Linked DNA regions of Ovis aries. The protein of the gene in region 1 purifies or fractionates together with the protein of each later gene. This does not show direct contact. Links are inferred from orthologs where the notes say so. Each region holds a gene or a part of one and is shown on either strand. Other genes may lie near its edges.

Region 1 (3,812 bases):
TTCCCACCAGCTTCACACCCACTGCACTGACATGGGGCCATTCTGTAGCTACCACTGGCGAGGATGACAGTTTCCAAAGCACTACGAGAGCGCGGCCCACCCTTACGTTCTGTGTGAGAAGAGGCACAAGGGCGCTTCAGGGAGAGGAGGCTCTGTCCCGCCAGGTGCCGAGCACGCGCTGCTCCAGAGCGCCACCAGAGCGCTTGAGAACGGCTCCTACGCATTTCAGAGTAAAAGCACTCACTTTGCACCAAAAGAGAGCTCTTCTGCCAACCAGGTCCCGGGATGACAGACACTCTGGATACTTTTTTAGAAAGGGTGGCTTTCCTCCAGTAGCTGTAGGCAGTCACATATTCCTCATTTTGACAAAGGATCGTCCAACTTCAGGCATGGCTGTATATATAACTCCACAGGCAGCTAAGCCGTCGTAAACACGCCAAGTATAAAGTCATGTCGAAAAGACATTTTCCCTCCCCAAAGTATGGCCCCAAGAAGCCATTATTACAATAAAGTATGAATTTCTGCTACAGGTTACTGACTATAATACTACCAGTAAAGTCTCGTTTAGTACATAAAAGCTTACACCGTGACATGAAGTATTTAGACACAATCCACTGACTGTTTTAAATTTGCTGTACACCTAAAGGACCCATCTGTATGTATTCTTCATTACACCCATCTGAATGTATATATATAGATCCTCTTTTGGTAGAATACAGACTTTGGAGATGAGGCAACATACAATGCAGCTGCTGGCGACTCCAATAGGCCATCTAGAAAAATGGAGTAAGTTCCCAAGGCCCATGCTGCTGGTGTCTCTTCTGAGGCTTCAAATTAAGAACTTTCTGAATTTATCTTATTGGCACTCTGCTTGAATCAAGACAAGGCTCAAAAGCAAGCCTTATCTCCTGCAAATTAATTCCACACACAGGTCTTAATTCTGTGTTTGGAACTGGCTGCAAATTTAGAACTTCCTCAAATGGTATTAAAAGCACTACACAAAAAATAGGCAAAAGCAGTTACTGGTTTTTCAAGAAAAACAAGACATATCTGCAAAAAATCAACAGCTCTGTAAACAGGGCTGTAGGTAACTTGGGACAACAATAGCAATTTAACATATACAGCGTTGGATGACCTTTTTTTAAAAAAACTGCAGTCTCAATACTTCATAATAATAAAAAAAAGATTTGCACAACATGATTTTCTAAGAGAAAGAGTTCACTTCTTTGTTTGAAGAGGAGTCAGTCCTGATGGCAAAAGGGCTGGGAATGTCAATTAACATATGCAAGACAATATAATACAAAGTCTAATATTTGTTTCAACAACATCCAGTCAGCTCCTGGTGGGTGAAATACTGCGGTCTAGCTGTAACCAGGGCTCTTTTCCTGTGGCATTTTAAAAAACGTAGCTGCTGCTGAGTCAGTGGCTTTCTCTGCGGCAGAGGTCCTGACCAGCCACTCAGAGTCTGGAGGTTTGGGGGCCTGTGACGCTGGTGTAGCTGACTCCACTGCATCCATGTGAACTGGTAAGGGTGTTGCGGTTAAATAAGGAGGAAAAAAGTCAAAGCGAGACAAATTAGAATGAGAGGCATGTCAACACAAAATTTTCTTAATCCTTATATTTTATGTCCTATTAAACCAAGCAGCTAAATAGGGTTTCTTTCTTCTTCTTTTTTTTAACCAAAAACTAAAGGCAAGATTTAAGTATGATAAGTATTTCTCCACATCAGAAAATAGGTTTAATTGAACAAATGAATAAGTTCAGGAGTATAAATTCTTAATGTACTAATAACCACTTAATGAAGCATTTACATGCCAGGAACTATACTATATAAACACTGTATACTTACAATCTTATTTCTTAATGCAAACTCTTAGAAATAGGTATTGCCATTCCATTTTTTGGGTCAGAAAACTGAGGCATAGAGAAAGCAGATAATTTGTTCAGAGACACGGCTGTTTAAGTAGCAAGACTCAAACTCATATACTAGACTCCAAGCCCTCTGCTCTTTCTATAATGTTCCATGCCTCCAATATGACAGTGTCATGAATAAACACTGAACAGTAAGGCAAAAAAATTACACAGCCGGGCCATCTGTTTTCAGCAAGGACATTAAGACATTCTAGACAGGATGACCACTGCTTGTGCAGGGCTGTCCTATTTCTTTTAGGACACCTACCCTTCCGGACCTATCCCTGAATGCTCAAAGCATTCCCAGTCACTGTGACAACCCAACACTGCCCCCACATTTGCACATGCCCCCTGAGCAGAGTAGTACAAACCACCATCACTCTACTGAAAACAAATACACACTAAAATAAAGCAAAACATTAACAATTTCATTTTTATCCTGTCACAATAATTCTACTCCCAGGAATATAATCTAGAAAAGTAATTTTCAAATTATGGGTCACAAAACCAATGTAGTAGGTCATGACAAACACATTTTTTTTTTTTCCGTTGATGAAAAAGAACAGAAAATATCAGAGGGAACCCAAAGGTTTATTTCAGATTTTACAGTTACACCCAATATATATTCAAACATGAATTTCTTACTGTGAGTTACCAGGAAAAAATATCGAAAGCTATTACTCTATGGCACATATACAAGTTTTTTAGAGGGCAGCAGTTATTTCAGAACCTCAACCCCAGCAGCAAGAAATACATATGACATCACCACCCAAATCTCTCTTTTTCACACACAAGTACGCATGCTCATTCACTCTAATTTAAGTGAAAATAAATTTCATAAAAACTGTACCTACCAATACCACAAGGTCATCAACCATGGGGAAAAAACTATCTGAGAAAAACTTTTTGTGTTGGCTACATATATTTTTTTTTACTATGGCAAAATACACATGAACTACACCATTCTGATAATTTCTAAGCATACTCCTCAGTAGCATTCAGTCCATCCACACTTGTTGCACAACCATCACCACCACCCATGTCCAGAACTTTTTCTTCATCCCAAATGGAAATTCTCTACTCATTAAACAATAACTCCCCATTCTCCTCCTCCCCCAGCCCTTGGCAACCACCATTTTACTTTCTGTTTCTAAGACTTTGATTTGTTTCAGGTACCTCTTCTAAGTGGAATCAAATAGTATTCATCCTTTTGTGTCTGGCTTATTTTCCTTAACACATTGCCTTCATTCATATTGTAACGTGTTTCATAATTTCATTCTGATAATGAAAGTTTTCAGGTTGAATAATAACTTGTTGAATGTATAGACCACATCTTCTTTATCCACTCATCCGGTGATGAACATTTGGGTTGTTTCTACTTTTGGACTGCTGTGAATAATGTTGCTATGAACACAGGTGTACAAATACCTATTTCAATCCTTGCTTTCAATTCTTTTGGGTAATACATATCCAGAAACAGAACTGCTGGATCACAGGGTAGTTTTGTGTCTAAATTTTTGAGGAACCACCAGATCTTTACACATAGTGGCTGCACTATTTTATATTCCCGCCAGCAATATACAAGCTTTCCAATTTCTCCACATTCTTCAAACAACACATGCTGTTTTTTGTGTTTGTTTGCTTATTTTGATACAGCCATCGTAAGAACTGAGAAATGGCCGAGAAAAACTTCTGCGCATGTTCTCCCACAGAATGGTGCAATACTTTCCCCGGCAGCACAAACCAGCATAAGAGCAAGAATATGACTGTCGTAAGAGTATGACTGAAATGCTTATTAAGAATGATTACCTGTAATATATTCATCATGCTCAGAAATGGAATACTATACATATGGCAATAATGAATGGATTCTGGTAGGATAAAATGTGAATGGAATCAAG
Region 2 (4,412 bases), on another chromosome or scaffold:
CCATGCACTTGGGGCAGTAGAGCTTCACCATGGCCTCACCTGGGATGTCTGAAAGGCCTGGGAGACAGCCAGACTCAGCAGGCCAGGTTACCCAAGCCTGCCCAACCTCCCTCCTGGACTCAGGCCCCAACCTGCTGAGCCCCAACTCCATCCCAGCCTGCCATGGCCCTCCTTTCCCTTTCCCAACACTCACCGATGGGAAGCATTGGCTGGTTCTCACAGTACACACGGGGACAGTATCCAAAGTCTCCCTGCTGGTACTTTTCCAACTGATGTGAATGAAATTGAAGGAGTTGGTGGGTAGGTATGAAGAAAAGAGGCAACCCCCTCCTCAGCCCAATCCACATCACTGTGTCCCCAACTCCTTCTGCCTCTTAATGTCCAGAGGCCCCTTCTCTGGCTCAGATGGGCCTTCAGACTCCCCTGCTTCCTTTCATCCAGTCAGGCAGTCTGAAGATCATCAGACATTCACTGCTTATTCCCTGAGGAAGAGGCAGTCTACAACTTTCTGCTCTAGGTCACATCTCCCTCCCCCAAAACACTCCCTTCACCTCAACCCTCAATCAGGTCTTAACCCCTAGGCCCAGATTCTGGGGTTCTTTCCCCTCTTCTCAGCTAGATTCCGTGACAAGGCTGAAACGAGTGACTTCTTGCTGATGGAAACTCTGCTTCCCTGTTGCCTCTGAAGGAACCGAGTAGGAGTAGAGAGGCCTCACCATCTGGGCGATGCCACGGTTGGTGAGGATATAGCGGGCGTGGATCAATCCATAGAGCATTTCGGCTGCTTGCTCAATCAGGTCACTCTGGTTGGGGTTGTCTTCCAGCTCCTCATCTGAAACATGGCACCAGCCAAATGCAACCACTTGTCTTACAACTTTTTAAGGTGCCCTGCCTACTCCCAGGGGCTGCTGGCTCTTCAGCCCAGCACCCAACTTGGAGCCTCACCCCACCCACAGCCTGGGCCTCTGCCCCTTCCACCAACCCAAGGGTTTCTTTCCATCCCTCTCAGCCTCTGCTTCCTTCTCTTTTTTAATAAATAAATGCAAAGATGTCAACACAGAAGATAGAACTCTAACCTGGAAGGGGCAAGGAAGAAGATAACACCCATGGAGAAACTAGCATTTTCGATAAGTGCTAAGTTATAGGATCAGAGTATGAGAACAAGTGTAGAAGTCACAAAATTAGGCAAGAGTGAGGTATGGAATCAAAATGAAGTAAAGGATTTGGGGTTAAAAGGGTTAGAGAACCAAAAGGAAATTTAGAAATTCATGAAGCAGATAAACAAGGTGTGAATAGGAAAAAAACAGCACACACACAAAACAACCCTGAGGGTGTCTCACCAGGCTCCAGGTCCAAGATCATGTCTAAAGCTTGTCGATAGTGAGGCACCTGTTCATTGAGTCCAGTGAGATTGAATTTGTCCTGGATATAGTCTTCATCCACCTGTCAGGACGTGAAGTCAAAAGGAAACCCAAAGCAGAATCCTCAGCTTTGACCTGGGCAGGGTGCTCTAACTCGTGCCTTATCTTCAACACAACTGCTTCATTCCCTTTGTTCCACACTCCCAACTCAGCAGAAGTACTTGAACCTCTCTCCCTAGTTCGTGTATACTGCCCACCCAGAAGAGGTCTGGCTTTTTTCTCCTAAACATAAGCAATCCCCTCCTTACAGAGGCAGTCCTTTCAAGATCCCTGTCCTGATTCCTGTTCCTAGCTCTAGGAATCAGTTTTGGCCTCTCCTGAGGGGCAGCTGGCTCTCTGAGGAAGGTGGGGGCTGAACAGCTTGGATTCTGAAGTCAGTTACACTCCCTTATGTTAACACACAGCCATGCTATAAAACATTTTAACGTGAAGTGTTTTAATTCTCCTAATAGCTACCAGAAATACATACTATCAGTACTTCCCTGGTAAAAAAAAAAAAAAAAAAAAAAAACAACACAGGTTGACAAGTCCAACATTAGGCTGTTGGAGGGTGGCAGGGTTGACTTGGGGTCTCAGTCTTGACCCTTCACCACAAGTTAGAGAGCGCTACTAAGGAGACTCCTCCTTGACAAGAGTTTTTACTAAAGTATGTAAGAGAAGTGTGTGGAAGCTTTATGTGCAGGAGATTATGTGGCCAGATTACATGTGGAGGTGGATGGTAGGGTTGAGGAGAACTCACCTCACAGAAGAATTCATTGCCACGGAGCCCACAGAACCAAGAAATCCAGGACACCTCCTCTGAGCTGCTCATCTTCACGTCGGCTAGAGACAGAAGAGTATAAGCCTAAGCTCTCCCTCCCAACCTCTGGTATCCTCACTCCTCCCACACTTTGCCCTCAAACCATGGAAGAATTTGGGGCTACCCTTTTCTTAAAGAACCCGAGACTGGAGCACGTCTCTCTAGCTCCTCTTATTTACATTCCAGCCCCTTTTCACTGAGATTACATAGAGAAATTCTTCGGGGTCCACCAGCTGTGAGAAACCGACAGGTCTTGACCCCACTAGTCCTACCTCCATCCCTGACGCTCCTGAAAGCCAGGCCCCTCTCTCCTCCGTGTCAACTCCGGTAGGGCCGTGGCTCAAGCTCCCTACCCCCGCAAGTCTCTGGCCCCATTCTCAAGGGTTCCGAAGTTTATCCTTTCCAAGCAAGAGCTGGGCCCTCCTTTTCTCATGGCCTATAGGTGGTGGTCAGGTCCGTTTCATAGAAGTCCCGACATCCCGCCTCCACCCTTCGGGCCACCTCTCCTACCCTCGGTGCCGGACCGGGTCATTTCCTTTCCCACCCCCACATCAAGACGCGGAGACCCCATGTGCCGCGCCCAGGGACAGGGGACATGGCGCGGCGACGACCACCACACTCACCGACTGGACGGGGACTGGGACCGGGGGACGGGGAGGGGAAGGGGAGTTTCTGCTTCCAAAGACCGCGACGACGGCTACAACGCAGGCCGCGGACCCGACCGCGGCAGGCGAAGTGGGGTGGGGGGAGTGGAAACTGGGGAGGGTGGGGAAGAGGGCAACGCGCAAGTGCTTAGAGTTAGGAGCCGCGGTGCATGCCGGGAAATGGAGTCCTTGGGAAGAAGAAACTGACGAAACTAGGGAAAAGCGAACTACAAATCCCAGGATGACCCGCGCACGACCCTGGTGTCACGAGGCCCCGGGGGAGGGGTACGCTGGGGGCGGGGCGCAGCAGGGCACTGCGAGCCGCCACCGGAAGCGGAAACTCAGTACCGCGTTCTGGGCCAGGTAGCCTGGGAAATATAGTCGTGTGATTCCGGGGACTGCAGGGCCATGGAGGGGAGGGGGTGGGCCGGGAGAGGAACTAGGCTGGCTGGTTGCTTCTTGCTTCTCCCATCAAACAGCGAGCCTCAGGCCTCGGCGAGACTTTGCTGCCCGGGGCATTGACCTCATCCCCAGCCAGCCAGCCCTCCTGGCCCTTATTGCCTTGCTCCTTGGAGTCAGCCCGCCAAGGAGACCCGCGACGGGGCCCTTGTTTCATCCGGGGTTCGCGCAGCGGAGGCGGGAGGTGAGGCCGGGTTCCATGCTGAGGGTCCTGGGTAGGGTGTACTGGGATGAGCTGAGCGGTGTGAGAACCAGGACGGCCCCGTGGGCTAACCTGAGGTGGTGCCAGCCATTCTGCTGCTTGTCCCCTTGCACTTCTCCATTTCCTCTTAGGGCTTGAACGGGGCTGCTGTGGGCGCTAAATGCGACCTTCGAACCCTGGTCAGAGTAATGGTGAGGGGCTGCGTGACGTTATTTCATTTCAGGGTTTCTGGGCATTCTCCGCCTCAGAGCCTTTTTTAACCCTGAGAGTGATTTCCCAGGTCCAGAAAATGAGCTCGGAGCGGGGGCCACGTTGAGGGAGGAGGCGAAGGGCATTGTGGGGGCGTTATGTAAAAACAGAACCCCAACCGACGGATCTTTCTCAGTCCTCGCGCTGCCCCGGCACGTGGTGCGTTGTGCTTCTGCTATGGAAACATTCCAGGGCGGGAAAAACCCGGCGCTAGCGCGCGCCTGCACCCTCAGGTGTTTTGTTTTGTTTTGTTTTGTTTCCCCGGCCACGCATGCGTCTTTGTGCCCTGTGATTATTTGTCGACTCCTTTGCTTAGAGTAGCGCCATTTTGCAGTACGGAAGCTATAAAGCGACACAGACTGGAACCTCTTCCTGAAAGCTGCTTCCTGCTTCCGGAGACGTGTCGCGTTTGTTTTTGTTTGGGAAGAACTTACCCTGAAATAGGAAGATTTAAAGAGCCAATTTGATTGTTTTTCTTAATGGTATGTTTTACGCTGTGATAAAGTTGTCTCAGAGAGGCTGGTATTGTTGGTGCGGATGGAGGTAGGGGCGGAGCGCACGGTCTGGGCAACTGTCTTACGGAGACTTCTTTCTTACCTTTATTGAGGGGCATTGTCTGTTACTGACCCTACAGGGTC

Evidence for each region.
Region 2: the proteins of GPATCH2L (region 1) and CSNK2B purify together in Homo sapiens (co-immunoprecipitation; 3 studies listed by BioGRID and IntAct, with this or other methods). This does not show direct contact. The link is inferred for Ovis aries from reciprocal best matches to the Homo sapiens genes GPATCH2L and CSNK2B.

What each region holds. Positions count from the first base shown.
Region 1 is NC_056060.1:85,681,178-85,684,989, reverse strand, and holds part of GPATCH2L (G patch domain-containing protein 2-like), read right to left. Parts: exon of another isoform or gene 2,484-3,812; intron 1,523-2,483; coding exon 1,362-1,522; 3' UTR 1-1,361.
Region 2 is NC_056073.1:26,713,074-26,717,485, forward strand, and holds the start of CSNK2B (casein kinase II subunit beta), read right to left. Parts: upstream 2,969-4,412; 5' UTR 2,844-2,968; intron 2,244-2,843; 5' UTR 2,233-2,243; coding exon 2,161-2,232; exon of another isoform or gene 1,444-2,160; coding exon 1,341-1,443; exon of another isoform or gene 833-1,340; coding exon 717-832; exon of another isoform or gene 270-716; coding exon 194-269; exon of another isoform or gene 58-193; coding exon 1-57. UniProt on the Homo sapiens protein: Regulatory subunit of casein kinase II/CK2.